Linked DNA regions of Drosophila melanogaster. The protein of the gene in region 1 interacts with the protein of each later gene in a pairwise test. Each region holds a gene or a part of one and is shown on either strand. Other genes may lie near its edges.

The links.
Region 2: the proteins of Nph (region 1) and CG7379 interact in a two-hybrid assay, tested with the Drosophila melanogaster proteins (one large-scale study listed by BioGRID).
Region 3: the proteins of Nph (region 1) and CG13005 interact in a two-hybrid assay, tested with the Drosophila melanogaster proteins (one large-scale study listed by BioGRID).
Region 4: the proteins of Nph (region 1) and CG14671 interact in a two-hybrid assay, tested with the Drosophila melanogaster proteins (one large-scale study listed by BioGRID).

Annotation. Positions count from the first base shown.
Region 1 is NT_033777.3:30,001,834-30,008,882, reverse strand, and holds Nph (nucleophosmin), read left to right. Parts: upstream 1-4,021; 5' UTR 4,022-4,279; coding exon 4,280-4,301; intron 4,302-4,433; coding exon 4,434-4,579; intron 4,580-4,725; coding exon 4,726-4,893; intron 4,894-4,978; coding exon 4,979-5,113; 3' UTR 5,114-5,202; downstream 5,203-7,049. Other genes in the region: CG7912 (uncharacterized protein), read left to right, coding at 651-950, 1,011-1,351, 1,426-1,735, 1,796-2,098, 2,161-2,306, 2,364-2,546, 2,617-2,826; Nlp (nucleoplasmin), read right to left, coding at 3,462-3,595, 3,828-3,849; tace, read right to left, coding at 5,361-5,403, 5,469-5,631, 5,705-5,810, 5,873-6,436, 6,497-6,732, 6,920-7,049.
Region 2 is NT_033777.3:17,793,884-17,801,623, reverse strand, and holds CG7379 (uncharacterized protein), read left to right. Parts: upstream 1-3,319; 5' UTR 3,320-3,514; coding exon 3,515-3,656; intron 3,657-3,737; coding exon 3,738-4,690; intron 4,691-4,751; coding exon 4,752-4,958; 3' UTR 4,959-5,248; downstream 5,249-7,740. Other genes in the region: CG17803 (uncharacterized protein), read left to right, coding at 463-498, 574-900, 1,101-1,939, 1,996-2,316, 2,384-2,624; pasi1 (pasiflora 1), read right to left, coding at 5,546-5,629, 5,711-5,761, 5,824-5,923, 5,985-6,259.
Region 3 is NC_004354.4:16,799,900-16,808,205, reverse strand, and holds CG13005 (uncharacterized protein), read right to left. Parts: upstream 4,557-8,306; 5' UTR 4,447-4,556; coding exon 4,214-4,446; intron 4,136-4,213; coding exon 2,926-4,135; 3' UTR 2,452-2,925; downstream 1-2,451. Other genes in the region: ppk28 (pickpocket 28), read right to left, coding at 1-185, 249-843, 906-1,572, 1,706-1,899; Rai1 (Rat1 interacting protein 1), read left to right, coding at 4,955-5,649, 5,737-6,169; CG4789 (uncharacterized protein), read right to left, coding at 6,293-6,552, 6,619-7,137, 7,201-7,246; CG9132 (uncharacterized protein), read left to right, coding at 7,598-7,680.
Region 4 is NT_033777.3:5,559,746-5,566,445, reverse strand, and holds CG14671 (uncharacterized protein), read left to right. Parts: upstream 1-1,630; 5' UTR 1,631-1,720; coding exon 1,721-2,040; intron 2,041-2,105; coding exon 2,106-2,253; 3' UTR 2,254-2,469; downstream 2,470-6,700. Other genes in the region: CG12746 (uncharacterized protein), read right to left, coding at 48-304; Pi4KIIalpha (phosphatidylinositol 4-kinase II alpha), read left to right, coding at 3,317-3,481, 3,552-4,179, 6,253-6,371, 6,644-6,700.

The DNA.
Region 1 (7,049 bases):
ATAATTAGTGAAGGAACAAACACTGTTTGATTGTGCTGTGATAAATAAAGAACTAGTTTACCTAAAACTTGATGAGATAAACTACAATTAAAGGAAACTAAACAAAGGTCTTCGGAGACATTACATTATTTATGGTAAATACCCGGTAATGAGTCCGTAATTAGACAAGAGAATCCACAAGATGACAGTGCTATTACGAGCTGCGAAAGATGAGTTATCAGTGACAAGCTGGCTTCCTGGGGATGAACGTGTCCATCAAGCAAGAAGGGATCAAAACGTAAATTTCCCCCGTTGAATAATATAAATGCATAAGATACAAACTAGCCAAGGATACTATATGCGGCTCACTAATTATCTAGAATATGAGACACCAAAACAGAGGGTTCAAAGTGCTAACATCAAGGCATTGTGCTGCCTGCTGGATGAACTTGTCTATCAGCTTGTAGACATCTTTGGTATTTTTCCAGAAGTCACAAGACCACCGAACCGCAGGAAATCATCGAGGCACTTCAGATCATGTGCAGAGATTGCGAATGGGTGTACATAAAAGAGCGTTTTTCAATCAAATAAACCACTTAACTATGGCCATATCAAGATTTCAAGGCGCCCCAGGAGGCACACCTACTAAATAGCCCACTTGTGCTTTCCAGATGATCTCTACCGGGAGCGTCTGCCGAACGTTTGCGGTGCCGTGAGCTCAAAGGCGAGGAGCTGCTGCAGCATGCGCTCCGTCCACAGATACCTGCCCGTCACCGATTGGCTGCCCAAGTACCAGTTGAACTTCCTGGCCATGGATGTGGTGGCGGGTCTCACCGTGGGCCTCACAGCCGTGCCACAGGCCATAGCCTACGGAGCTGTGGCCAATCTGCCACCAGCCTATGGGCTCTACTCCGCTTTTATGGGTGGATTTGTGTACATACTGCTTGGAACTTGTAAGGATATCACAGTGGGTGAGTTGGGGAGCCTCTGGTGAGGTGGTGCGCTAAGTAATTCAAATCGTTCTTCCACAGGCCCTACGGCCATCATGGCGCTTATGGTGCAGCCATATGTGGACGGCAACCCAGCGTATGCGGTGCTAATATGCTTTCTGTCCGGCTGCATCATCACCCTAATGGGTTTACTCAATCTCGGAGTGCTCATGCGGTTCATATCGGTGCCGGTGACCACGGGTTTTACGATGGCAGCCGCCCTAACCATTGCCACCGGCCAGGTTAATAGCCTCTTTGGCATTAGCAGTAGTGCCAGTGGGTTCCTTAACAGCTGGATATACTTCTTCGGTCACATAACACAAACACGCCGAAATGATGCCATCCTCGGCTGCTGCACACTTGTGCTCCTGCTGCTCATGAGGGTGGGTAATGCTTAATTAAATTGCTTAATTAGAAGGTTTGATTAGCGAGACTATAAATGTTTAAATAATTTCAGCAACTGAAAAACCTAACTTTCGGCTTCAAAAGCGTGTGGAAGTATATTTCACTGGCCCGCAATGCTGTGGCCGTGTTAATTGGCATACTCCTGTGCTATCTTCTGAAGAACGATGGCAAACTGCCCTTTCTAGTCAGCGGCAGCATCACTCCAGGCCTGCCGCCTTTCAAGCTTCCCCCTTTTCACACGGAGGATCCAGAGACTGGAGAAACCATTAGCTTCGGTGGCATGGTATCGAACGTAGGCACTGCCCTGGTGTCCATACCACTGTTGTCCATATTGGAGAGCATAGCTGTGGCCAAGGCCTTCTGTGAGTGCGGAGGAATAACTTCAGTTCATATTCCATAACTTGAGCTTCTTCTACTTTCAGCCAAGGGCAAGATAGTGGACGCATCGCAGGAGATGATTGCCCTGGGCGTCAGCAACATCCTCAGCAGCTTCTTCTCCTCCATGCCTATCACTGGATCCTTTACAAGGACAGCCATCAACAACGCCAGTGGAGTAAAAACCCCGCTGGGTGGTGCGGTTACCGGCGCTCTCGTCCTCATGACCCTGGCCTTCCTCACCACCACATTTGCCTACATTCCGAAGGCGACCCTGGCAGCCATCATCATTGCAGCCATGTTCTTTATGGTGGAGTACGAGACCATTGGCGAGATTTGGCGGGCTAAAAGTGAGTGCTACATGGCATTTGGGATCCCACGTGAAGTTAAAGTAAGTCTGGTTATCTTACAGAGCGCGATATGCTGCCTTTCCTGGTTACCGTGCTGACCTGTGTCTTCTGGACCCTGGAGTACGGAATGGTGGTGGGCATCGTCTTCAATGCGCTTTTCCTGCTCTACAAGAGCATGAAGCCGCAGTTTTTCTTGACAACCGAGAAGGTGAGCTGACACACTGCATATATAGGGCCTAATAATTTCTATTGGCAATCAACCTAGTTTAACGGCATTGAGGTGACCATGGCCGATCTCAAGGGCAGCGTGGACTACGCGGCAGCCGAGTACTTGAAAATGTCGCTTGTGTCGCACGTGACGCAAAGAAACAGCGAGGGAAGTGCCCCCACCACACTGGTGGTCATTAAGGGACACGAGATTGCCTCAATTGATACGACAGTGGCTTTGGTGAGTGCCAGCTTTCTTTGCTGCAAACTATGACCTTTGACCCGAAACCTCTTCTCTATTCCTCGCGAAGAACCTCAAGTCACTGCGCGAAGATCTCGCCCTGCTGAAGTGCGACATGATCTGCTGGAATTGGAGTATTCCGGCGGCGGGAGTGATTTGCCGGATGGACAGGAAGCTGCGCAGTATGTTCAAGTTCTCGAAAAGCTTTCCAGACCTAATGCAAACAATTGCGGATGCCGAGGCAGCCGATTCGTGTATCGCCGTTGACTTGAGTCAATAAAGAGTGCTCTTTTGTCTTGCCGTATGTGTATCTGCGTACAGTTGCGCCAATGAATTTGGTTCGGAAAGGTGGGGTACTTAAACTATGAGGATCTTGATGGTTAAGGTATAATGATGGTTAGGTACAACTAATGAGAAATTTTAAAGCACAAATTAAAAATATTTATTATAATAAAAATTATATTCTTTAAAGAAGATGTGCTTTGATAGTTATTCTCGAAAGTTCCTAACAATATACAAAACACCTAAGTCCCTGGATTTACTGGGACAGTTGTAAAGTACCTAGTACTTCTTTGCAAGTACCTTGTACTAAAAAGAATTTATGTACCTAGCACATCCCATTGGTAATGTACCATGGCAATCGAAAGTCCGGGGCTGGTTACTCGGCGGCCGTTTGCAGATGTACAGACACAATTACCCTAGCCCACCACAACGAGCGAAAAGTTCGAGGTTGTTCTGGTCTGGGGGAAAAATGGAAACCGGTCCCTGCCCCGCCGGCCGGAAAAATGCAACGAAAAAAAAAATGAAAAAGAAAAAAAGAAGAGGACACCAACCGGCGCGCGCATACACAATTTATGGGATTTACTACATGCACTGAATGCCCCGTTTCGCATACACAATGAATGGAGTACTCACCTCGACCACGTTGAACTCGTTCTCCTTGGCCTCGGCGCCCAAGAGGATCTGTTTGATGACCAGCTTCTGGCCGCGTGCGTAGTCCTCGTCCACATCCCACGTGACGCTGTCGCTCTCGGCGGTCAAAGTGACTCCTGCGGAGGGGATATAGTCGCCATTATACTTTCTGATTCGTATCTTATTCGCGCACTCAAATCCGAGGGTTTGAGGCTAGACACACACAAATTGGCCAGCGGCAAATCTTAGAGCAAAAACACCGGCAAGCTTCGCAGACACTCCGCCTTTTCGGTGGTAAATACGCCTTCTACGCGTCCACTTTTGCCCCCTTTCGCTGCCTATAGAGTGCAACTGCTAAATTGTAATTACCGTAGAATGATTCCTCAGCCATGGTAGGTAATATTTAATATTAATTCCACACAAAACCAGCGGCGAACACGTGTTGAGCAAAATCTTTTGCAAAATGGTAGCTGTCGCAGGGTTGCCAGGCCGACGTAAGGTGCCGAAATCGATGATTGTCAGACTGGGAATCAAAATCGCAGGGCTGCCACTTGTAGTGTCCAATCGAATGTGACAATCTATATTCGTTTGTTGCAAGCTAACGCGACAGTAAAATATATTAAAAAATATTTCAAGTCTTCATTACCAGTACTTGCGAAGTTCCCAACAAATTAAACGAATAATATCGATAGTCCTGCGCTTCGATAACAGCACCGCTCAACGCTTCACACAACTGCAGCCATCGCCGTTTTACGGGCACGTGTAGAGTACAAAAGGTTCTTTTATTAATTGACTGTACATCTGTGTTCCAAGGCCTGCAAATGGAGTCCGAGTCGTTTTATGGTGAGTACCATTGCCATTTGGGCTGGAAGAGCGCTCCAATAGCCATCCCATAGCCACGCTGCGAGCAGCTCCCCTCCAGCCGGCAAAAAGCAGTCGGAAATCCAACCCTTCTCGCCGTTCGTCCACTTCCAGGTGTCACACTCAGCGAGAAGGAGGCCATCGCACAGTTCGAGGTCCCAGATGTACCCGAGGAGTACATCGTCCACTCGCACAAGCTCATCATCAAACAGATTTCCCTCGGCCCAGAAGCGAAGACCGGCGAATTCAACGTTGTACAGGTGAGCCTCGATACCGGCAATCTGCCCCGCGTCGCAGGTCGTAAATTTAAAGGCGACATGGCTGATTTAACTCATATCATATTTCGCGAAAAACTCGGAAATTATACAGTGATAAAATGCACACAAATTTAATGTTTCGCTTCCAGGCGGAGACGAACATAAACGACGATGGCGAGAAGAAAACCTTGAAGATCCCCATTGCCGTGTTGAAGGTCGGCGAGACCCGTAGCTTAAGACCAAATGTCGAGTTCCCCAATGGATCAGTGACCTTCAAACTGGTGCAGGGAAGTGGACCCGTACACGTATGCGGCAAGGTGAGCTCCATCCATCCATCCATCCATCTATCTATCTTTCTATCTACTTTGGGTTCCTGTTCCTAACAAATTGCCGTACCCTCAGGTCGAGATGAACTTTGGCGAGTTTGACGACGGTCAGATTTACGAGGAGTATTCGGACGAGGAGGAGGATAGCGAACTGGAATTCGACGAAGAAGCAGCTCCTCAGACGAACGGCAAGAGTAATAAGAAGAAGTAGAAACACATTACACTCCAGTAAGCTAACTAAATGATCCGAAAAAAATAAAAACTTCAATACGACTTTAATAATGTAAAGAAACCATCCAATTATAATGACCTTTTGTTTTTGGTCTATATTATATGGAATTTTATTCATTCTGTGTTGCGTATGTTCAAATATGTCACTTAATGTAAACGAATTGTGGCAGTTTTAAGAAGAATGCTCACGGAAGATTAAAACAAAAGGAACCCACTGGGTTTTTGTGCTAATTACAGGCTCGGGCCACCGAAATCTTCTGGCGTGGCACTCTGAAAGTATAGATTGGTGGTTGGTTATCAGTATATAATTATAAAGTAGGAGGCTGAGCGCCTACCGTATGTGAATCACTCGACGCCTCTCGTCACTGGGATGTATAAGGTCCAGTTTCTGGCTCCACTCAATCAGCTTCATTTCATGGCGCAGCTTCTTGCGGTCGAAGTAAGATATGACGCAACTGATGGGAATCCAAAAGACTGCAGTGACGAGGACAACGGCCACTGAAAATATGATTGAGCAAGTGTGGCTTAGTGGGGATCTTCAGAATGTAATATTTAAGATTGCAATACTTACTGACAATGTTGTCCTTGAGAAACCTCAAGGTCTTGGCCACATTTATCTCCTCGATGATGTCCCAGAAGCGCTCCACCACATCCTGTATGGTCTTTTCGCATACGCCCTGAAAGAAATCGCAGCTTAGCATAATTATGGGCAATGTAAGGAGTCAATCCACAAGCATACCTTGTTGCAGAATCCTGTGATGCAGGGTGTGCCATCGGGTAGGACATCAGGTGGCTCTACGGGGAAGCAAGTCTCATTGATGCTCATGCGACAGCACCGCTTGCAGGCATCCGCGATGATATCACACATGCAGCTTTGGAGACCCTGGGTCTCGCAGTACGGCACGCATTTGCCATTCCGGCACTGACCCCGCTCCTGGCAGGTGGTTCCGTCCGCCATGGCCGGCGATTTGGGGCACTCGGCGTGGGCGCCGGTACAGCGAGCCTCCTGCTCGCAGGTGGCGTACTGCGCCTCGCGGCACTTCATTCCGGAGGCCATGAACTGACAGTTCTGGCAGCACGGTGAATTCTTGTCGCTGCACATGGCTCCTTGGTTCCGGCGCAGCTTGCAGTTCTTGTCGCAGCATGAGTCGTTGTCCTCGGTGCCCAAAAGACCAGCATCACACTGCTCGTCGCCCTCGACTCGCAGGTTGCCGCAGAAGGACTCTTCGGGCTCTGAAAAGCATCTGCCCGATTTGGCTTGCAGCACCTTACGGATCGAACGCAGGGAGCAGGGGGAGAATTTCTGTTAAGGAATGGAAAGGCGTTAAAAAATTCTATTGGTGGAGGTACAGGAGAACCATACCTTATTGTTCACATCGTAGCCACTGACGGAGTACGTGTACATGAGGAAACTGCCTCCTTGCGAGGCGCTAGGTGAGCACTCCGGAATGTCGGGGTCGTGTTCCGAGCCCCAGTTGTGTCCAAACTCATGGGCCGTGACCAGGTCAGCCTCCCTGGTGATGACCCGCTGACCATAGTGGTTGCGGGAGCTGCTCAGACCCGAGTTCAAGTACAGAGTGTAACCATTTTTGAAGTATTCTTGGAGACGAAACGAAAATAAATTAGTTTGGGATACACAACTTAAGGGTATGCAAGAAACCCTCTTGGGACTTCTATAGCACCCCTAAAAAACAAGCTGAAAACTAAAGAAAAAGGAAACCAAGGAAACGAAAGTCTATAAGCCAAATGAAAAGGACAAATATGAGAGTCAACTGGGTGTAGCAACCTGGAGTGCAAATGCCGCCAACGGAGTTGCGACGGGGGGAGCCCACGTAGGCCAGGCCCAAAATGCCGCCTTCGAACTTGAGATCGGTAAAGAGATGGGCAAGGCAAAAGTCTTTGTGGCTGTACTCCCG
Region 2 (7,740 bases), about 12 Mb from region 1:
TCCTAATAAGATATGGCATAGCAGTAAATTGTGGTTTTGCTAACATCAATAATTTTCAATAAAGAATATAATTAAAATAATGAATTGGGCTATTCTCAACAAGTGCTTAAAGTAAACAAAAAGCTTAAAGCCATATGCACCGTACTAAAATCGCTACGCCCGTGAAAAGTGCTCTTGGCTACGCACATGGACACAGCCTGGAGTTCAACCCCTAGTTCAAGGTTATGCAGCCCTGCAAACTGTGCTTGCTGTTTTGCAGAAATTCGCAGTTTGCCGGCAAAGGATGAAGTGCGCAGTTCGCATCTGCGGCAACAGATTCCTCTGCGAGTTCGCCAGTCCAAGCACATCTCGGTGAAAGAAGAAAGCATATTCCGGACTTTCCCAACAGTCCGCGAAACTTTTCATCGACTCAACATTGCCGAAAACGGGAGAGCTCAAATTATTTGCGAATAACTTTCACAGATGAGGTCGTCTAGGACAGCCAGCGATTCAAAATGGGTGTGTCACTCAAACTCTTATTAATATTCTAATCTGGTATATTATGTATACCTTCGTTTTTTTTTTGCATTCAAGGTGCGCCAGTCAAACGACAACAAAGACACAATGCGCTCCTCGCGGCAGGTTAACAAAAAGCTTGTGAAGCTATTCCTGGCGGAGGCAGACGACAGTGACGCCACCTGCACCACATCCACTGCCCTGGACACGACCACAGCAGACAGTGCGTTTTTTGATAGTGATTTCGAAGAGGAGAGCACTGGGCTCCAGGAATGCGATCCCCCGCCGGCAAGCAAGTGCCGCACCTGCTTTCGCATCATATCGCGGCATGAGGATGCTCAGGATCTATATGACAGGGTCAACATAGCGCTTCTGCACCACATAAAGGTCATCACTGGGGTGTGGGTACGTCTGCGTCTGCATTTAAACTTACGTTTTCTTTTTTGTTGTTAAATTGTTTCATCTTCGTTTTATAAGTTAACTTTGTTGACAAGGAACATAATATGTGAGTTCTTAAACTGTTCTACCACAAATTTAACAGAAAAATAAACCCACTATATAATATTATAATAAAGCTGCATTAAAGAACTAACATTTTATTGCAGATACAACAAGGAGTCAAAGAGCTACCGCATCACATTTGCTCAACGTGCCAGGAAACTGTGAATAAATCCATGGAATTCCGTGCCAAATGCCAGCAGGTCGACAAAAAGCTTAGGCAGACGACGGAAAAGTACAACATTCAAATCTGTGACGAGGAAATGGAGTCGGAGCTGGAAAATGTGCTCTACGAAGAGTCCGCCCAGCAGGCAAAGGGAGTCGTAGGACTAGAAGATTTCAGCTCAGAGTTGTTGCCGGATAGTGAGGGTGTCCTGGATGAAGACGACTTTCCACTGGATGCAGAGCCAACTCAGTTTTCACTAAGTGAAGATGAGTTGGATCTAGACAGAGACACAGAAAAAGACTTTGCTTTGGAGCAAAACAAGTCATGTAATGAAATAATTAGCATACGAAAGTGTAAGACTAAGGAAGAGATTGGTAAGGTAGATCACGGAGCCAAGGTCTATAAGGTTGTGCTCGGTGAGTACAATAGCCTAAAGGAAACTGCACCAAAGTATTCGCTTTCACTACCAAAGAAACCTCAACTAAGGGTGAGTCCAGAGGAGAAAAACCGAAGGCGCCGCGAAAGGATACAAGCGAAGCCATTGAACTATGTCTGCGACAAGTGCGGCCACACCTTTCGCCAACGCAGTCAGCTGCAGATGCACTTGCTCCGTCACAATAGGGCCAAGAATTTCGAGTGCCCCGAATGCCCGAAGAAATTCTACGATCTCTATACGCGCAACATTCACGTAAGAGCGCTGCACAAGGGCGAGCATCCCTTTCCCTGCAACCATTGCAATGAGTCCTTCGCAAACGCAAGCAGTCGTCACAGGCACGAGAGGTGAGTGCACCTACTATTTGATGGTTCCATCATCTAATCACTTCGATTGACTCCAGGGATGTTCACGGAGCAGGCAATCGGATTCGAACGCGGGTGAAATCAAAGGAAGAGGGATCCAGTCGCCATTACTGCACCCAGTGCACCAAAAGTTATACCAGCAAGAAAGGTCTAGTCCTGCACATGAACTTCCACAACGGAAGCAGACCCTTCCAGTGCAAGATTTGCCAGATGAAATTCGCTGACCCATCTGCCATGAAACGACATCAAGCTTTGCACGACAAGTTTCCCATTCGCTGTGACATCTGCCTAAAGGGATTCCTGCTGCGCTCCCAACTAACAAAGCATCAGGATGTACACACAGGAATGCATCCTCATCGGTGGGTGCAAAAGAGAATCCCGACTACTGTCCGTTTACTTATTTCTTTACTTGATTTATATTGCCAGGTGCGAGATCTGCGATGTTCACTACCGCCATAGATATAATCTAAACAAACACAAAAACACCGATTTGCATCGGGATAATATGCAGAAAGCTATAAAAGAAGAAGTTAATGGACTGCAACAAGCATTTAAAGATATTGATAAGGAAATGGACTTTGAATCTCAAACACCAATGCAGCCAAATGCACAGGAAGTGCGAGCCAGAACTCAGGATGAAAAGACTCAAACTATTGAATATATATAATTTTTATAAAAATTTATATACTTTCATGGCGAAGTACGTAATACTTCTAAGGTGACGTTTAGTAAGTGCCGACATAGAAGATAATGCACGAACAATATTTTAAAAATATATAATTCGTATAATAGTATTATGCATTTAATAACGTTAAGCTTAATGAAGAATAGACTTGACAACCTAAATACAAATCTGAATAGTTCAGACGTATGTTTCATGAAAGGAACAATAAATATTTATATTATTAATATTAAATAATAATCAATTAAAAAATAATATAAGTGCATTTGTTTTTCCTAATTAAAAAATCAGCTGATACTGTTATTTGAAATTCTCCAGTTTCCCGGGCAAATGAGTAAGGGGTTGGTTTTGAACGTTTCCTACACTGGCCGTTGAATGAATGATACATGATTTTAAAATTACGATAATTGTAATAAAATGAATACAAAAAAAGGACTGAAAGTAATAATTAAATTTGTATTTAAAGGGAAAATATTTTTAATACTTTCTATTGCCTAGGGAAATGATGAGAAGATATTTGACCACAAACTATTAAAACCAATATTACTTATTTATTAAAAAATTCAACCGAAACAGCAGTGCCGTTAACCACCCCGATTTCAGTGTAGCAAAACACCAGCCGACTAGTGTTGCAAAGCACAACCACCCATTGTATACATACATATAAATAATACCTACGCACACATACACGCACACACGAGTACAGTCGCAAGTTGCGACTCGCAACGCCATACAAAAAGTTGGAACTGAGTGGAATCGGAGTACTATATAGCCAGCCGATCCCTTCCAGAGCGCCGGAAGAGTAGCTCACATCCGAACCCACGTCCCCGAGCCGATGTCGCGGCGGGAATAGAGCGATTCGCAGTCCAAACACGATGATAAACCCCATTGCATCCGAGTCGGAGGCCATCAATTCGGCCACCTATGTGGACAACTATATCGATTCGGTGGAAAATCTGCCGGACGACGTGCAGCGCCAGTTGTCACGCATCCGCGACATAGACGTCCAGTACAGAGGTGAGTTCTGGCCGAGATTACGCCTGTTGGAAAAGCGGAAAACCTAACCTCCTCTCTTGGTCCAAACCCGTCGATTTGCAGGCCTCATTCGCGACGTAGACCACTACTACGACCTGTATCTGTCCCTGCAGAACTCCGCGGATGCCGGGCGACGGTCTCGAAGCATCTCCAGGATGCACCAGAGTCTCATTCAGGCGCAGGAACTGGGCGACGAAAAAATGCAGATCGTCAATCATATGCAGGAGATAATCGACGGCAAGCTGCGCCAGCTGGACACCGACCAGCAGAACCTGGACCTGAAGGAGGACCGCGATCGGTATGCGCTCCTGGACGATGGCACGCCTTCGAAGCTGCAACGCCTGCAGAGCCCGATGAGGGAGCAGGGCAACCAAGCGGGCACTGGCAACGGTGGCCTAAATGGAAACGGCCTGCTTTCGGCCAAAGATCTGTACGCCTTGGGCGGCTATGCAGGTGGTGTTGTGCCTGGTTCTAATGCCATGACCTCCGGCAACGGTGGCGGCTCAACGCCCAACTCGGAGCGCTCGAGCCATGTCAGTAATGGTGGCAACAGCGGCTCCAATGGCAATGCCAGCGGCGGAGGAGGCGGAGAACTGCAGCGCACAGGTAGCAAGCGGTCGAGGAGGCGAAACGAGAGTGTTGTTAACAACGGAAGCTCTCTGGAGATGGGCGGCAACGAGTCCAACTCGGCAAATGAAGCCAGTGGCAGTGGTGGTGGCAGTGGCGAGCGCAAATCCTCGTTGGGCGGTGCCAGTGGAGCGGGACAGGGACGAAAGGCCAGTCTGCAGTCGGCTTCTGGCAGTTTGGCTAGCGGCTCTGCAGCCACGAGCAGTGGAGCAGCCGGAGGTGGTGGTGCCAGCGGAGCCGGCGTAGTTGGTGGCAATAATTCCGGCAAGAAGAAAAAGCGCAAGGTACGCGGTTCTGGGGCTTCAAATGCCAATGCCAGTACGCGAGAGGAGACGCCGCCGCCGGAGACCATTGATCCGGACGAGCCGACCTACTGTGTCTGCAATCAGGTGAGTTCGCAGTGCTTTTCCTATCGAAAAGCTTCGCCACTAATCACGTTTTCTATTGCAGATCTCCTTTGGCGAGATGATCCTGTGCGACAATGACCTGTGCCCCATCGAGTGGTTCCATTTTTCGTGCGTCTCCCTGGTACTAAAACCAAAAGGCAAGTGGTTCTGCCCCAACTGCCGCGGAGAACGGCCAAATGTAATGAAACCCAAGGCGCAGTTCCTCAAAGAACTGGAGCGCTACAACAAGGAAAAGGAGGAGAAGACCTAGTCTATTAGGCCAGCCTATCCAACCCATTGCTCTGTGTCTAACACCAGGCTCTGTAAAATATTCGATCCTAAGATTTACCTTAATGTATATTTAGTGACTTTCTTAGACCCGATCCCTTTTCGACTTTCCCCTCTTTCACCCAGTTTAGATCCCTCGCTTCTATGGTTATAGGTCGTCAGTTTTCATTTAAAGTTTCTGTACAAACAATATCTTTCTCAATGTAAACACACAAAAACTCGTATAATTAGAGTACACCTAAACTTAATTTATGGTAATAAACGTTGATATTCAAAACCCACAATAATTTCTTGGCCCCAAGGAGCCCGTATCCAGTAGCAGTAGTTTTACGAATCTATTTGTTTAATTGTCGTTTAGAAGACTAAGGCATTCGAATTACACATAAGTATAATTGATCGTGTATAAATGTGTGTAAAATATATAAATTTATATAAAACTATTTGGTAGGCATCTGTGGAATTGTATGGAATTCTTATTGTAAAAAATGCGCATGGACGGAGTTCTTGTTGCGTGTCAAGTCAAAAAGTATTCTAATAGATTATTCGAGCTTCTGTATGGAGGTTCTTCCATCATGGCATGAGCAGCTCAATGTTCGGATTCTGGATCTCCAGGAATATCTGGTACTGCGAGAAGACCACCAGCCAGCAATAGATCTAAGTGGATGAGTAAAATGGGTTTATAAACATAATGATACAGGAGTTGGTGTTGCTGTCCCTTGAATTTCAAACACTTACATTGTAGGCTACCCAAACGAAGTTCAAAAGGGCCGAGAAGGTTTGCTCCAGCTGGCGGTAGAGTAACACGAATTCATTAGCTTTAGTTAATGGAAAAGATAATCGCTACTCACATAAATATAGTAGCCTCCAATAAGCCAAAGGCTCCAGCTAAACTGGAAGAGAATGGCTAGTCCAATTAGACCCAGCCAGGGTAGCAGCCATCCTCGAGTGCTGAGAAACAGATGCAAGCATGACTATATCCGTACATATAGGAAGCCAGAGCTCGTCTTACCTGATCTTAATACCGTAGTAGACCAAATAGGAAGACAGGATGATTAGCAGGAAGTAGATGATAAAGAAGCCACCTGCCACGGGCATCGACGAACGTATATCCGTCTCAAAGAGCGGGGAATAGAGCTGCGCAGACTCCCCGCCTGCTAGCATATACGAAATCAGCGTGATCATTACGGCGGATAGCGCAGCCGTATAGCCGGCCACGGCATAGCTTCCCGTCCGGACATTATCCGACCAAATTATGGGCGACCAGCAGGAGCTCAGCACTACCATGTTGCTGTGGGAAAACACCGGGAGACACCAATGAACAAACTTCTCCGATCTCAAATTTCTTTGGCTTGCGTGACAGCGTCAACGCCCAAATATTTTGGTCAATGAAAACGCAGTCGAAATGTATGATTTTCTTCTGCTTTTCAATTGATAGCTACTTCTAAAGGTTAACCTTGGATATATCCTTTTAAAATGTCCAGATTGTTTTGGTTTCTAGGGCGTGGGCGTACCTTTTTTTAAATAATAATCGCTTAATTAGAAAAACAACAACGGCTTGAGCAATAGGGTTGCCATGCGTGCGTAAAAAAGGGAATTATCGATATTTATTTAGTTAAATATATCGCGAAAAGTTATGATATGTTTAATAAATTGAAGACATTTTCAGTAAATAGAATGTTTGCAAATTTAAAGTATGAGAATATTTTAATAAATATTATGATTATAAAATTAAAAAGTGTATGATACTAAATAATCGATGACTATCGAATATAAACTGAAACGCGAGTATGAGCACTGTACAGTATATTAAAATATTTATTATGTTTCCTATAATTCTATTAACTAACAAATGTACAGCAATGTATTTTAAGATATATTTATCAAATGTTTAATTTATTATATAATTGGTATATAATATATTAATTGATATATATAACTAGGTATATAATTTTTAAATTGTGAATTAGCTTAAAATTTGTTTTACACTCTTCAAGCTTGTAAAAACAATAATAATATCTGACCATCGATCGGTCCCACTGTGCAGCACTGAGCAGCTGAGCTGACCGAATCTGAATTCGAATATTCACCATGTGTCGACTGGCGACTGCAGCAACAACAACCACACGGCAGAGTACAGGGCCGGTTGTTGGAGTGATCTTCATTTGGCAATTACATTTGGCCGTGTTCGGAGGTCTCCGCGGATAAAAGCGCCAAAACAGAAGCCGAAAAAGGCCCAAGTCGCTCGCGCTACGTGAATCAGTTATCAGTGGGATTAACCGCGCGATTCGCACGGAATTCAAACGCACATAGTGGCGCAGTGGCAACTTCCCAGTGATCGTCGCATAACGGTAGAAAGGTGAAAACCCGAATCGAATCGAATCGAGTTGAATCGAAGGGCATAACACAGTACCCACACTGCGTGGGCAAGGTCAGCTCCACCAGATCCCAAACCCATTCCCATACCAAGTAGGTACATCAGAAGGCGCCTACATTTTCGATGATTAGCCATTAACCCAGTTGTGTGAAAGTTCTTTGGACTTATGTATGAATAAGTATGAATACGAGTGCGAATGCGAATGCATGGAGGTGCACTCGTCGCGGTCTCATGTTCCAATTGGAACGATCTTTCGTGCCGAATTGTGGCTCATTCCGCACATACGTACGCTGTATGAATGTTTGGGCCAATTTCTCGCCCCAAAGAGATGTGGGCTTAAAGTGCACCACCGAAAAAAAAAATCCACAAAAAAAAGTAATTTGGATCCCAG
Region 3 (8,306 bases), on another chromosome or scaffold:
ACGCAGTGCTCTGCGCACGGGCATCCTGATCGGCGTCAGCCAGCTCAGCTGCTCCAGGCGGCGTTTGTGGCGCTGCCGGAGTGTTCGCGAGGCGCAGTACGGACGGACGGTGATGTAGAAGAAGATCTCGATCACCGAAAAAATGCTGAAGCCCATGAAAAGTCCCAAAAGGCCGCCCGTATTAGCTGGAAATTTAAAAGATAAGATATAATTAAGATTAGTTACATTTCTTAGTTTTGAACTCTTACACAAGAATTCGGTAAAGCCAAACATCTCGGACTTGGTGGTGCTGCGAAATATGTTGGTCATGTAGTAGAAGTGCAATATCGAAATCTCGCTGGCATTGCTATATGGCCCGTGGAAGATATATTCGGGTAGATTCTCGCCGGCCTGAAATCGTGGATCCGAAACGATCGAAGCCGTTGAAAGTGTGGCCCTGTATGTTAGCTCGAAGCAACCCGGCCAGCAGTTCTCGCAGGACAGATTCGTCAGCGATGACTCAATCTCGGTTTGCACCCGATCCGTGCACTGATTATCGTTGGGTCCGCACACCCTGGCCAACGGATCGATCCGGGGCAGATAGTACAGCACACAGCTGCACTCGCGTAGCAGCAACTTCGCCTCGCATTCCAGCTCGCAGTTCTTACGCGAATATGTCCGATAGTAGGCCAGGTCATTCTCATCGGAGAAGAGGCAGCGACGCACCGATTTCTTAATTGACCGTATCGTGGGCAGGGCATCCTCATAGACTGGTTCGATGGGTATCCGTGCCTCGCGTCCCGCGGTCACAACGAAGCCATAGTTGCTCACTTTTGGCAGCTCGGCGGGATTGTGCACAAGAACCTTCAAAGCGGATTTATACAATCAGTAGAAGTATATAGTTGACTAAATACCATGCATCCCACCTTGAAACCAACACTCATCGACTTGGTGCAGTAATACTCCGCTATGGAGGCGTTCAGCACGACGGTGAGACCCATGCGGATGCCCGTGCCCCCCGAGGTGCGCGGAAAGTAGAACTCCGGCAAATTGCGGGCATAACCCTTCTCTGGTGTCCAATCGATGAGCTCATAACGGGTATTCGGATGAGCCGTCTCCAGCCGCACATCGTCACTGTAGTTCCGTATAAGATACGACGGATGCAGGGCATTGAAGTTGCAGCACAGCCCATCGTCCGTCAGTATGGAGGTGAAGAGCCAGGAGCAGTCCTCCTCGCGCGATCCGAAGCTGCAGTACAGGAGCATTTTCTCGCACGGCTGGGCCACGTCCACCAGGATCGCCTTGAAGTACTTCCAGGTGCCGATGTACGAGATGGTCGTGTCCCCGCCCTGGTCACACAGACCCATCAGCAGCGAGAAATTCGTGCTGGTCCGTCCAATGCGATCCACTTTGCTTAGCAGCGCCTGGTTGAGATTACAGATCGTGATCGCCGGAAATGGCATGTTGCTGGTCAGCTTTTGCTTGGCACTGGTCGAAATGATTATGGGCGAAGCACTCCACTTTACGTACACGTTGGATATGAAGAACACGGAAAGGATCACCACCAGCACAAAGGCAAGACCAAAAAAGATGCTGAAAGGCGATATAAAATATGAATTGTAAGTTCGTGGCATTGCTCGTACTTGTCTATATATAAAGTAATGCCTCTTTTAGTGTCCGCGATCTCTGCGATAGGCTGATCGATTCGGCTACCTTGCTTACGTACCGTTCCGGAATGGTGATGCTCTCTTCGGCGATGTACTTTAATCCATGGAGGGTGCTGTTCTTGAGATAGTAGACCACACTCCTCTTAATGGCCGCCCTGCTACAGATGGTATTCTCATCGTCATCCGACTCGGAGTCCTTTTTGCACCCGGAGGAGCCACTTTGGCGCCGCCTGCTTTCCGTCAACGTCCTCATAATGCACTACGTCCGCACTTCTTTGAATCTCCGCTATTTATAGGTCACTTTCTGACTGCACTTTTAGGTGCAATTCCATGGCGGTCATCAGCTTTAATCATATTGAACCAAGGCAAACACGGTCGTCCATTTGCAGTGATAACTGCCAAATTGATTTTAGCCACCCCCTTGCCATCCTCCACGTATTTTGAAAATCAAGTGGATGGCCAGAAAATATGATTACATCGTGGCAAATAAACTTTACACCTGAAAGTAAACATAGATACACGCACGCTTTTCAATAAAGATATTCTAGATATTGTAATACACACAGGTATTGAAAGGGATTTATTTAAGCAGCAGCTTTGTACTAAAAGCAATAATAATTTTTCACAGAAATTTACCATTTAGCTGAACGCCATTAAAATTGCGATCAATTTAATTGACTTGCAGTAAACACAAATGAAAAGTATGAAAAGCTGCTAGAAACCACAAGCATATATACATTAAACTAAATTGGCCAGGATTTTTATTCACTTCCAAATGTTCCAGCAAATAATAACGCAACAATTTCAAAAATCAAGGAAGATAAATTCATTTAATAGGCATCTTTCGTTAGCCAGTTAAGTACTTCATAAATAATCTCCATCCGCATGCGGCATTTTTGCCACTCAACCATTTACATTTGCGTACTAATTGCATAGATTTTTGGCTGGAGGTTATATGAGGTTACTTTTCAAATTATACAATTTCAATATTAATATTCAGTAAAAATTCAAAATACAATACCAAAATGTATCTAAGAGATCCCTATTTCTATATTTACATACTCCATTAATACATTTTAATCTACTTAGAAAAGTTCGTTTCAATTTTCAGAGACTTTCTTCATGCAATATGCACGATAAATAAAATAAATGTTTTAAACTTTCATATTTTAGAACCTTTTCAGTGTTCAAGTTAAAAAGTAGTTGAAATACCTTTCACTCTATCATAGAATTCTTCATCTCCATTGCTAGCTAAGCGCTTTCTATACATTTGTCCCTTCTAATTCGGATTGAACTGGAAGAAGTCCACGTTGAGATCGAGAATAGCCTCTGTGTTGGGCGTTTCCTTCATGGTCAGGGCCTCCACGGCATTATCGCTGGCATGATCGTAGCCATGGTTCACAGTCGGAGGAGCAGTTGCCACTGGCGGCTGCATAAGATCGCTGACGTTTCTAAGCAGACTCTCCTCGGAAGGCGGATGAAGTTGACCGCCCGCCGATAGATTGAGACGCTGTGCAGCCTCGTCTGTGAGCGGATCGTCCAGCGACATGCTCAACTCTGCGTAGACCACCAGATTGCGGGCTCCTTCACTACCGCTGCCGGCAACCAAGGCCGCTCCCTCTGATTCCGGCATCGGTGCCAGCGGCGACTCCATGGCGGACATATCCAACGCATACTGACCCTCGGGTATGCCCAAAACTCGTGCAATTCGTGCATTTACAAAATGCAGTCCAGAGGTATTCCGTATAAGCCGTTGGCTGCGCAATTGCAGCTGCTCCACAAAGTCGTTAAGTTCGTTAAGAAAGAGATCAGAGCGCTGTTCCTCGCTGAGATGGGAATGCCGCTGCAGTTGGGCGGTCAGAAGGCCGAACAGCGACGGCGTGGAGGGAGGATGAACCGTTGATGGTACTGTAGCTACAGCTACAGGTGGTGTCTGCTCGCCCGGACGCGGCATGTGCTCTGGGAATTTGACAAAGTGACGCTGCAGACGGCGTCCCAAAAAGATCTTTCCACAGCCGGGACAAACGGCATTTTTGGGCACGGCTCGTTGGATGGTTGTCGTTGTGGTCGGTTCCTGGCTTATACTGACGCTGCTGCTGACACTCGTGCTTTTCGGCGCTGCCATGGGTGCCCGGTAGTCCTTGTCCCGCAAGTCGGCCACCAGCATCTCAAGCATGCGGGCAGAACTTGGCTCAACCGCTGAGCCACTGGTCACGGGAGCGGGCTGTGGCATCAAGCTGCGCACCTGGCGACCGGATCTAGTGCGATGGGTGTCGGGAGCAGGTTTTTGCTCCGCTAGTGTTGGTTTCTTCGCCACAGGAGCGGTGGCAACCGAACAGGCTCTTTTCGATGGTCTACCCACTTTGGCAGGCGGATTCTGGGCATTTTTCTCTATCGCCGGGCGAATCCCCATGACGGCGGGATCCGGACAGCGGTAAATCGTTAATTGTTGCGTAGCCGCATCTGTGCGAATCACCTGATGGCGCTTTCTGCACAGGAATAAAAGATCACGGAACGTGATCAGAGAAGGTGAATGAAAGCTCCAAAAAATAGGGATTACTACCCACCGATCGATGACTATGTGATCGTTTTTGGACAGCTTGTGCAGACTGCAGGCCAGCTGGCCCAGAGTATCCTTAACGCGTAGCAAATCGCCTCCTGCAGCCGGCAAATCTTCGTCGGGCACGGAATTCTCTGCAGGATTCTTGGCGGCCTCCTGTCGATCCTGTACACCACCGGTCTTATCCGGCAGCACCTGCAGCTCGGCCAGGACCGAGGGATCCTCCAGGAGATGCTTCATTGGCCAGCCACGTTTGGTGGTTACAAATAAACATAAAAACAAATCTATGAACAAAACCGAATCGGATTTCGTGTTATTTTGGTATTTAGTATATTCTTAGATTCCCATGACTGTGGTCACACAAATTGTTTGATTTAAGCTTGCAAATACCTCGTGGTGAATAGACGTGCTCAAACAGAACATAAAGCAAATCTAAGAGTCAAAATTTTTTCTCTTCATCGAGGTACTATCATCATTAGCGTTCACTTATTACATTAAAATTAATAAGCACATCATCATCCCATTTTTAATACAATTTAGCTTTCGATACTAATCGCCTACACTTGATTCTCACCACAACCATTTCCCAAGGTCTTAGCCCATTTAGTTGCGCAGTGGAGAAAGAAAATAATCGATGATTCCTCGAAAAACATCGATGTTTGCGATTTTTCTCCACCTCTAATAAATATTAGCGTTATTTTCCGGATAATTATAGTTTGAACTTGGAAAATCCGCGGAGGCGAAGGAAATGGCCGAGAACGCGGGCTTCATCAGTGTGCCCTGGGGGCAGCACAAGCTGGGCGCGATGTACAATACGCCGTTTCCCTCGATAAGCCGCCCGAAGTGCATCGGTGTGTGCAGCATAAACGCTAGCCGGGAATTTGTGGACGACGCCAGCTGCGCCAGCTACTTGGCTGGCCAACCGTGGCCACCGCTGCCGTTCGATCTTAACGGGGGTATAGAGGATGTGATCCGTAAGCCCGTCGAGAACGGCAAACGGGATCTGGAAATTATGCTGACCTACATTAAGCAACACCAGAAGGAGCTGCTCCGTCAGAGTAGCTCCGATGCGAGAAATCTACGCCTGGACAGCGACTTTGTAACACTGCGCGGTATTTTGCGGCAGATAATGTGCCTGCAGTATGATAATCGCTCATTCCGCGTCAAGGCGACGCTCCTGAACGGCAACGTCTACATGTGCAAGGAGGAAACCCCAGAGCAGCAGCTGGAGAACGCGAACATGAGCAGGGCACAGCGGGTCATGTGCTCCTGGGGCTTCAAGTTCGAGCAGTACCTGACCAGTGCCCAGGCGCAGGGAAAACCGGTGACCAATGTGCCGGTCAACGAGGCAGAGGAGTTCATGGGCGTGTACCGCACGAACCTGGCCGGGATTTTGATGCTATACGGCGCCGAACTGGACTGTGTGGACAGCAAGGAGCCAGTGTGAGTGGTCCAGGGTTTAAATACTTATGAATGATTAATGTTCCATCCATTCATTATTTGTGTATACACTTACACGAATCCCATTAGTGACTTCAAAGATTGCAGAGTGCTCGACTCATTGAAATTCGTAGAGCTAAAGACCAGCGTCTTCAATATGAACCCTCACCAAATTCGCACCTTCAAATCGTTCAAGTCTGCCAACTGGTGGAGTCAGTCATTCCTGGTGGGCATCACTACGCTCTACGTGGGACTCCGCGACACCAAGGGCATGCTGCAGAGGATCGATGAGATCGATGTGGCAACACTGGCCCGCAACAAACCGTGGAGTGCATCGGCAATGGCTTGGTACCTGGAACAGTTTCTGCGCAATCTTAAGAAGCTGCTGGTGAACATTAACGATCCGTTTGCGGTGGTCCAGGTGACTTTTTTAAATAAGCACGCCAGCTACGAAGTGCTGCGCGGTCCGGAACATCAAATCCTGCCCAACTGGTATCGAGATTTGCTCAAAACGCGCTCCTAAGGCAATGCATAACATTTTCTAAACAACAGCAAGTCTGATTTTATAATGGGAATTAATCGTTTCTTTTTGTAATGCTTCCCGTACGATAACTACAACTTAGAACTACTGAATTGAGTGCATTAGTCACTTGAGGTCTTGGGTATCCAGGAGGGGCAAGACGCTGTCTTCCATTTTGGCACTGGTCGGGCCAAAACGTCGCCTGTCGGGCGGACTGACGGCGTTGGAGCTGCTCACTCCGAATGCTAGGGCTGCGCGCAGCGCTTTGCGATTTTCGATAACGCGGTCAAAGAAGCGGGACAGTTTCACGGCATCAGTGGTACCAGCGGCCAGGCTGCGACTGTTGCGGCAATTTAGCCAAATCTCCTCGGCTCCACACTTGTCGGCTGAGGGATATTGAAATAGATAAACGTTAGGAGGAAGCATTTGTTAAATGTCATATTAGGAGGCACCTATTCCGCCCGGCTTCTTCACCCCCATTTTGGGATGGCGCTTCTCGTCCAAGAGATCCAGCTTGGTGCCCATGACCAGGATAGGCGTTTGCGTGGCGCCCAGAAACTCCTCCATGTCGAAGAGAATGTGGCCGTCCGTTCCGAGGTTGTCCGTTGAGAAGCTGCTCAGCGGGCTGGGCGGCGATGGCGGCATGGAGGCTCCGTTCGATTTGTTCGTATCCTTGCCCTCCTTGTTGACGATCTCGTACAGCCAGTCGATTAGCTGCCTCTGCGACTTGGCGTTGGTAAGGTCGTGCACCAGAATGATTCCATCGATGCCCGCATAGAAGACGCTGCGCGTGTTCTTGTGGTTCAGCGATCCCCCAACATCGAACAGCTCCACGAAGTAGGGACACTCGCGAGCGGTGCCCTCCCTGAACGGATGCATCTTCACCTGGATGTTGCAGCCCACCGTCCAGCCGGGCCGGATGAGGGCTTCGTTGTGGGTGATCAGGTGCGTCAGGGAGGTCTTCCCCACACCTGGGTAAGGGGAATTCTCGAGAGGATTAGTGCCACGGAAAGCGTTTGACGTCCATTATTTACCCGAATCGCCAACCACAACAATTCGCACTCGATTATTCATCGCCATTTGATTGGAACTCATTTTATTGGTTGCAGCCACACTAGCATTCAATGACTACTACTAACTACTAAGAAATGTTAATAATGACACAAATTTCAGTGATAGTTAAACTACGATAATGTTATTTTCCAAAAAAACATTAGATTTGAACTTAAAATGTTTAATCATTTAATCAATTTAATAGTTTTTAAATCTGAATTTAAAAATGATGTTCAACACTTTTGTGTTGGTATATTTTCGAGGGTCGCTTGGCATATGCAGACTATCGCCCGCCGGTCACACTGGCTAAAGCTTAAAAAAACACTTGGAAAGATTCAGATAATAAACAAAATCAAATTTATCTGAACTTCGAATAAGATGGAATACGAAAGTGTGCTGATCGTGAAGCCGGAGGTGTTTATCTACAAAATACCACCCCGTGCGAGCAATCGTGGTTATAGGTAAGTCGACAAATCGGCTGGCAAACCAGGTGACTACTTTTTTTCGCCCCTTGCTTTTGGATTTTCTGCCATCAAAATTGAAAGTTCTTCGTGCATTTCAACGCCCACTCACTGCACATATAACTAAATATATATGTGCATATATCCACTGGGGGTGTGGGAATGCATTAATTATGTTTTTCTAAGAAAAAGTCAAGGTTAAAGGCAGCGCGACTTCTGCTGCTGAGGCTGTGAAGTTCAAATCCAATTGATTTTTTTTCCTGGAATTATTGTTGAACATTTTCACTTACACGTATCAGGGAGCCAAGAACAAAAACAAAAAAAAAAAAACAGATAAACACACAGAAAGAAACGGGGGGCAGCGAAAAAGCTTCGCTGGCGTGCGTGTAATTGTTGCTATTTGCAGCCACTCTCTTTGTTTTCCTTTTGTTGCTGTTCATTTCACAGTTAACTGCGCTCAGGTGGGCAAATAACACAAATTATCGGAATAACTCAAATATTGGGGGTATACCATAATTAAAAAGCTACTACGAACGACCCATTAATCGAATGCCAAGCGAATTAATCCACAAGAACCACATTCCACCGGTTTTTCCATTCCAAATTATGGCCTAAATATATCGTAA
Region 4 (6,700 bases), about 24 Mb from region 1:
GAGTTATGGACTTTGTCGGCATTTGGAATGAAGCACAAAACACTCACAAGAAGGTAATGACGAGGAGAACGCGAAGAACAACATCTACGGCATCGCTGAGCTTCGCATTAGAGTTTCCTGTTCTGTGGCTTCGTTCCTCTCGCTTTTCTGGCTGAACGGAGCTGCTGTCCGTGTTCATAGCAAGTTCATTGCGCCACATTTCGTCGTCGTTGGTCCTGGTCCTCGATCCTGTATTCCTGACGTCCTCTGCGGAACTGTCGCTGAGGGTTCGCCTGGATTCTTGACCTTCCTTGCTCGCAGTCATTTCGTTAGTCCGTTGGGTATATTCGGTTGTCAGCTTAGGCCTGGTGCTTGTCGCCTAAATAATTGAAGAGATAACCAAACGACGAGTCATTAATGATTGCACTTATGTATGCGGACGGGTAAACTACTTCAGGTGTGGGATAGATTGAAAAGAAGGCCTATCTAACTTTTTTACTTCATGTGCATATGTGCTTATCAGTCGCAGATTGGGAAGTCTATTGATGAAAAAGCTAATGCTTTTAGAGAGTATACCGGAATAGGCAGGCAACCCCCCCTTACTGAAGCGGTGGCATGGGCAAGCCTACGATTTTCGCGATTAGATACAAATAGTGAAAAAAATAAGGCCCCATACGAGACGTATAAATTGAGATAAAAATGTTTCCAATCATCCTAGCGATTGTGCCAGCATTTGCTCACACTAAAACTAGAATGTTGATAAATATTTTTATAGGGTTCGTAGAAGGAATCATAGCATTCGCTTTTCTTTCAGTGCACACTTGGCCACGCTTTTCGTCAATGTTTGTCATCAAACGCGGTTACGTATGGCCAGATAGGTATGGATGTGTGTGGTGCACATATATATATGGTATAGTGAGCGGCTATATCGTATAGGATGCCGATGCCATATGCACACGCGATGGATTTAACAAGCCAGGCGTCAAAAACACTATTGGCTAGCTGACGAGCACCTGCTCCTTGCCTGTGCCGCCAATATTGCCGTTGCGGTCGATTGGATTTTCGCGGCGGCGACTTCGTAGGTCCGCCGTACAACTATCGGGCATTATCACCCGATCCGATGCAATCTCCTGGGATTTGGGTATATTTGAGTTGACTTTGGAACTGTTTGCACTTGGGGCATCCACTCGTTGTTAGTCTGGTGGCGTTAATCCCGACGTGGTTTCAACTTGACTGCTTCCCGATTGCTAATGCTGCTGAATGCTAATGGCAGGGCTTTTTATAAACTTTCTCTAATCTCGCAACAGCATCGTAAAACAAACTGCGAAGCCAGCCCCTTTCACCTCACCCCTCTCCAAAAACTAATGCGCAAGAAAACAACAACAGCTGTTTGCCCTTTTCGTTAGTCGGATTCCCCGAGAGTGTGCAGCTTGACCGTTTACTTGTTAATTGGGCATGACCGTGTTTGTTGCGGCAGTAATTACAATTCATTGCGTAAAACTCGTATGCACGCGACAAAACCAAACTTTTTTCAGCCGTTTCTTTTCGTTTTGATTCAAATCAGTCGGTTGTTAGTTTGCAAATCAGAATAGGGCTGGCGATAACATTTGTTATCGACGGTAGTGCCAACTCGGCGCATAGCAGCGATAAGTCAGGGTTGTTGGTGCGATCATATGATTGAAAAATCTCCGTCAGACCGAAATAATAATAATATATAAATAAAGTTATTCCTCAGCCCGCAATGAGCATTCAAAGAAGCGAAAAGGAGGCCGCGGGCCAGCTACTGGATGACTTGTACCTGGACATGTTCCACCTCGTTGAGGAGCACACCCAGTGTCGGATAAATTTGGAGCGATGTAACGCCAGTGGGGCGATTCTCCTGGCCCGCACTAGATTTCAGCACGGAGGCAGCCAGTGCGTGTCCACGGCCCAGATTCCCACGGAGAACAGTGCCGAGTTTAACGCCCTCTGCCGGGTCGTGGACTCCACGGATGGCGTCTGCATCGAGCGACAGGCGGTTGACAAGTCCAAGGGCTTCGTGGAGCCCCTGCATTGGTTCTCGTGAGCACTGATAAAGCCTGTGTGTATGTGGGTCAATGTGATAACTCACTTACTCCTTTTTCCAGGGTACTGCCACCGATGAGCTTGCGCAATGCTGTTAACAAGTTCAAGGACTGCATAGAGCTGGTCGCCGAGAGCACTAATCTGCAGCGGCAGCTAGGAGAAGCGCTGGATTCGATCACAAAGCTGCGAAGGAGTGCCCTGCTTAGCTAGATACTTATGGCGCGCACACAATCCATACAATGTTAAGAATAAAGTAGATTTGAAAACATTATTGAAACAGCACTCACTGACTCTCGATGAAGAAGATATGCGAGAAATTATTGTTGATCTATCTGAAACGTCAATTTCATAATTATCTGACGTATGATCCCACCTCGTTTAAAAAAACCTATAAATGACGCCCAGAAATGCCTTTTCTTTAGTATCAAATAACAAACATTATTAAAATGGACTACATATTTATATCGAGCTTAGAATTTTTCTTATTTTAGTAAGCCAATTAGTTTTTCACAGAATAAGAAGTCCATAAATTGGCTCCCCTTGTCTTTAGTTCTACTTTCACACGTTTTTCTAACCTTTAAGAGTTAGAAACAAAGATTTTTGCACTGTTATTTAGCTAATTTATACAATATAGACTTCCACAAACCTTATCTTGATATTTTAGTACGCCTAAATTTTAAATATTTCCGCTCAGCGCTCTCATGTGCGAGGCTGCCACTCGGCGAGTGCAGAACCAGCAAGTGGGCAGTACCGCGAATTCTACTCGTCAGCTGTTTGATTTGTCAACCATTTTTCGCTTCGTGTTCTTAGCGAAAATTAAATCGAACGCGTAATTCACTTGTTACATTTGCGGAGTGCATGGTGAGTCCCTATCTCGATGGTGTTTGAGATCCTCCGCGTCCCAAGATCCGTTTCTGAAATAAAACTGGGACAGAAGCTGGGGTTCTAAACCAAAAATCGATAATAAATTGCCAAACGAAATAGAAGCACAAAATTGAAGCAATTAGCAAGTAATGTAATCAACTTGCAGCCCGAATAATATAAGCATATTGTGCAGGAACATGCGAGCGGAGGAAAAGCGGAGGAGCAGATAACAGAACCAAGCGACGCCCAAAAAGTCGCGGATAGAAGCGCAAGAAGAAGCTGCAGCACAGCGCGGGCCTTTGTTGTTCCGTCAGCTGCGGATTGAGGGCAACGGCACCTCCCACTCATCCAGCCCTCTTGACCCACGCCCAATCACCCACGTGCCTGCCACCCCCTGCTCAGTGCGAACATGAGCGGCGCTCGGGATCAGACGGATCCCCCGCTGCTCCAGCTCGAGGACGAGGTGGATCTCATCGGGGACTTTGCCAAGGACCAACCTCCGCCCAGAAACCAACTGTCTCCGCTTTTAAATGGCTTCGAGTCGACAAGCAACCAGTTGACCACCAAAGTTGAGGTGAGTGCACTCCGTTCTCAACCTCACCTTCTGCAATACATATGGCAATATGAACTGACTTTTTCCTTAGATCAACACCGTCGGCATGGGCAAACGCAAGACAAGGAGAAGAGGGAAAAAGGCGCGGGAACCCATGCTACTGTCGGTGGACGACGAGGATGACGAGGAAGAGGCGCAAGAGGAGAGGAACCACACCAACGGGCTGCCGCCAGGCGAGGAGAGTGCCGGCGGCGATGCTGTTATTCAGAAACCGCAACTGGATAACTTGGTCATGCATTACGACGACCAGATCGACGACGAAGATGGCGAAGAAGCTGTGCTGCTGAAGAGAAGCTCAAACCCGCGCAACCAAAGACTCAAAGGTAGCGCTGAGGATAGCATCGACAGCAGCAGCCAACAGCCACCGATTATTTGTCACATCGCACCCGCGAAGGTAGCCTCATCTGCATTGACATCTCCGCTGAAAACCACTTCGCACACTGCTCTCGCCCGTCATCCGCATGACGAGGCCGACGACATCTGCCTGGTGCCAGAAATCGACTTCGAGGGCATGTCCACGGACGCCGGCAGCGACAACCGGGAGTCACAGCCGCTCTTGGGGGGAGGCAATGCCAGTCACGGAAGTCGCATCAGCGAGCTTTTGGGCGGACTAGGACGCGGGCACGATCATGTGGAGTTTGTATCGAACACATTTGGCGGTGAGTGCGCAGCGGTCTAATGAAGTCGTACAAGTTGCATTTCCTACCACACCCAGACCACATTGCTGCCTTGTTTGCTTTGTGGCTTTACTCATGATGTGCTTATCACTTCTACGGCTACATATGGTGGTTCTATCTCCACAAGCAGCGCAAGCTTAGAACAGATTATTTAGGGCCTCGATGTTATTCATTCAACTTCATCTAATTTCTTTTATACGGGGAGGATCTGTAACTGGAAACTAGCTATTTCGCCTCTGTTACATACTTGAATATAAACTAAACGTGAATATAAACTAGACAAAATGTCCGACCAAATGAACCAAAAAGACTCTTAAATAGAATGATAAGGGTTAGATTCCTAGCTGCTATACGTTTTAAATTTAAATTAAAGTCAACAAAAGCACCCTGGTCAACCCAAGCATTTCCGTCCTCCAAAAGAATTATTTACATTTAGATTTATTTAAAAACTAATACAAACTGCTTTTGTATTCCCTTGCTAAGATAAATAATACATATATGAATCAATGCAATCATAAGAATAACCACATTTCTATTGGTTAGTCCATGAAGTGCTTACTCAAATATTAGTCAATTTGTACGTTGTGCAGGGAATTGAGCTAACTTTTATAGATATATGTAGAGTGTGTTGTGGGAGCGATATACACTGCCAAATGAGTACTCATCTAGATCTTTGACCTTTGTGACTCAGGTGATTCGCACTGCTCTGCTGCCTTTGAACATACGCTGATGAGTAATACCCTCCGATTTGTTTTCGTTGCATTTCGAAATAACTTCCGAAAGCGATTTATAGTTTGTCTGTTCTTTTTGCAATCGTTTTACTCAGTACTGAATATCACTAGATGGCCATATTTCGCTTGCCCTTTGTATGTTAATCCTATAGTCATCGCCCCACATTTCAAAGCATTTTTTACAATTTTATGGTTTTTACAAGAATTAGTTTTTTTTCGAAATTGAGCACAAAATTGTGTGTTATAAATCTTGGTGTACTTGGATGTCACCGTGGACGTCTGTAGCTCGGAATCGAAGTCAGTCGGGAAGCATATAAAGAATTTCGAGGAAGGCACTTCAAAAATGGAACTTGTTCCTTTGGCAACTGTCGCCAATTGGACATAGCCCCATGCCGAAAAACAACATTAAGTCGTTTCTCAGCCAGGTGCCGTTGCCGAACGCTATAGCAGCCAAGTACCAAGAGCCAAGCGAACCAAGAGACGATGAGCAGCCCACGACAAGCAAGGATGCGCTGGAGAGCAGCTCCTCGGTGCCCTCCGCCTCCGCCGCCTACGCCTGCATCTGTTGCGAGCACAAGTGCCCGCTGGAGAAGGATTTCTTGGAGTCGCAGTCGGACAAGGAGGGCGATCCGCCCTTTCTGGTGAACTCACCGTCGATGGCGCGTGACTCCAAAGACACAGTAACCGTTCAAATCGCGGCTCCGCGCTGCAATTGTGCCAACTGCCCGCTGAGGAACCTCTGTAAGTGGTGGCAAGGGGTTGGCCCTTATCGAAACGCTTTGGCTATGCTAATTGTGACCTGGTTCTCCTTTATCAACTGCCAGCCGACTCGAAACCTCTCGACTGCCGGCGCACTTAATATACCAGTGCCTCCATGTCGCGCTTGTCGAGCAGCAGTCGCGAAAACTTCATACCGCAAGTGTTTACCATTTGCCAGGACTTGCAGGGCGATTTCAACGACAACTTTGATTTCATAGGTAGCGTGGAGAGGATTAGCGTAGTCAACAGTCCTATGCCATTCCTTGATATAAAGTAAAGTGTAGGATGGGGTCTTGAATTTCATCGCAGTCTTATAAGCGTTTTCGTGCATGTTTGCTGTAATTATTTTTATCCAACAGATGGCACGTTATTTCGTTGGTGTGTTTATAAATTATTAAAACCATAATTATATAGCAAATTTGTTCAATTTTAATAAATGACGAACAGTCCGTTTTTTACCCGTCGCTTGAGGCATGCGAATCTTCGTTCTACGCACAAACTTTTTTAGTAATTTAAAGCCCTAGTGCTAATGCCTATTTTTAATTTTAATCTTTGATTCTTATAGATGACCCGCTTTTCTCGGAGATCGTGGCGAAGGCGGAGGGGGCCATCGAGAATGGTGTGCTGCCCGAGCGCATTTACCAGGGTAGCAGTGGTTCCTACTTTGTCAAGGATGCCTCCCATGTGAGTAGGGAATCGGGGTGACGATCTTCTAGCCGTTCTTGCGCATAAGGTGGGAGTTGGGTCGTCCAGTTCTGGGCCTAACTTCGTCGATCTTTTACTTTTCCGCGCATAGATAAATAAGATCGGGTAATCGGGGAAGTACTGCAAATATAAGGCTTTTGCAAAACTTTTGGTTTTTTCCTGAAACAGTTTCAAAATAGTGAATTGTATATTGTTTACCCGCTTATGCTCTATGTATTTATTATGCCATTTCTTATGATGCTCCCCCTTAGCAATGCCTGGCCGTATTTAAGCCAAAGGACGAGGAACCCTATGGCAGACTGAATCCG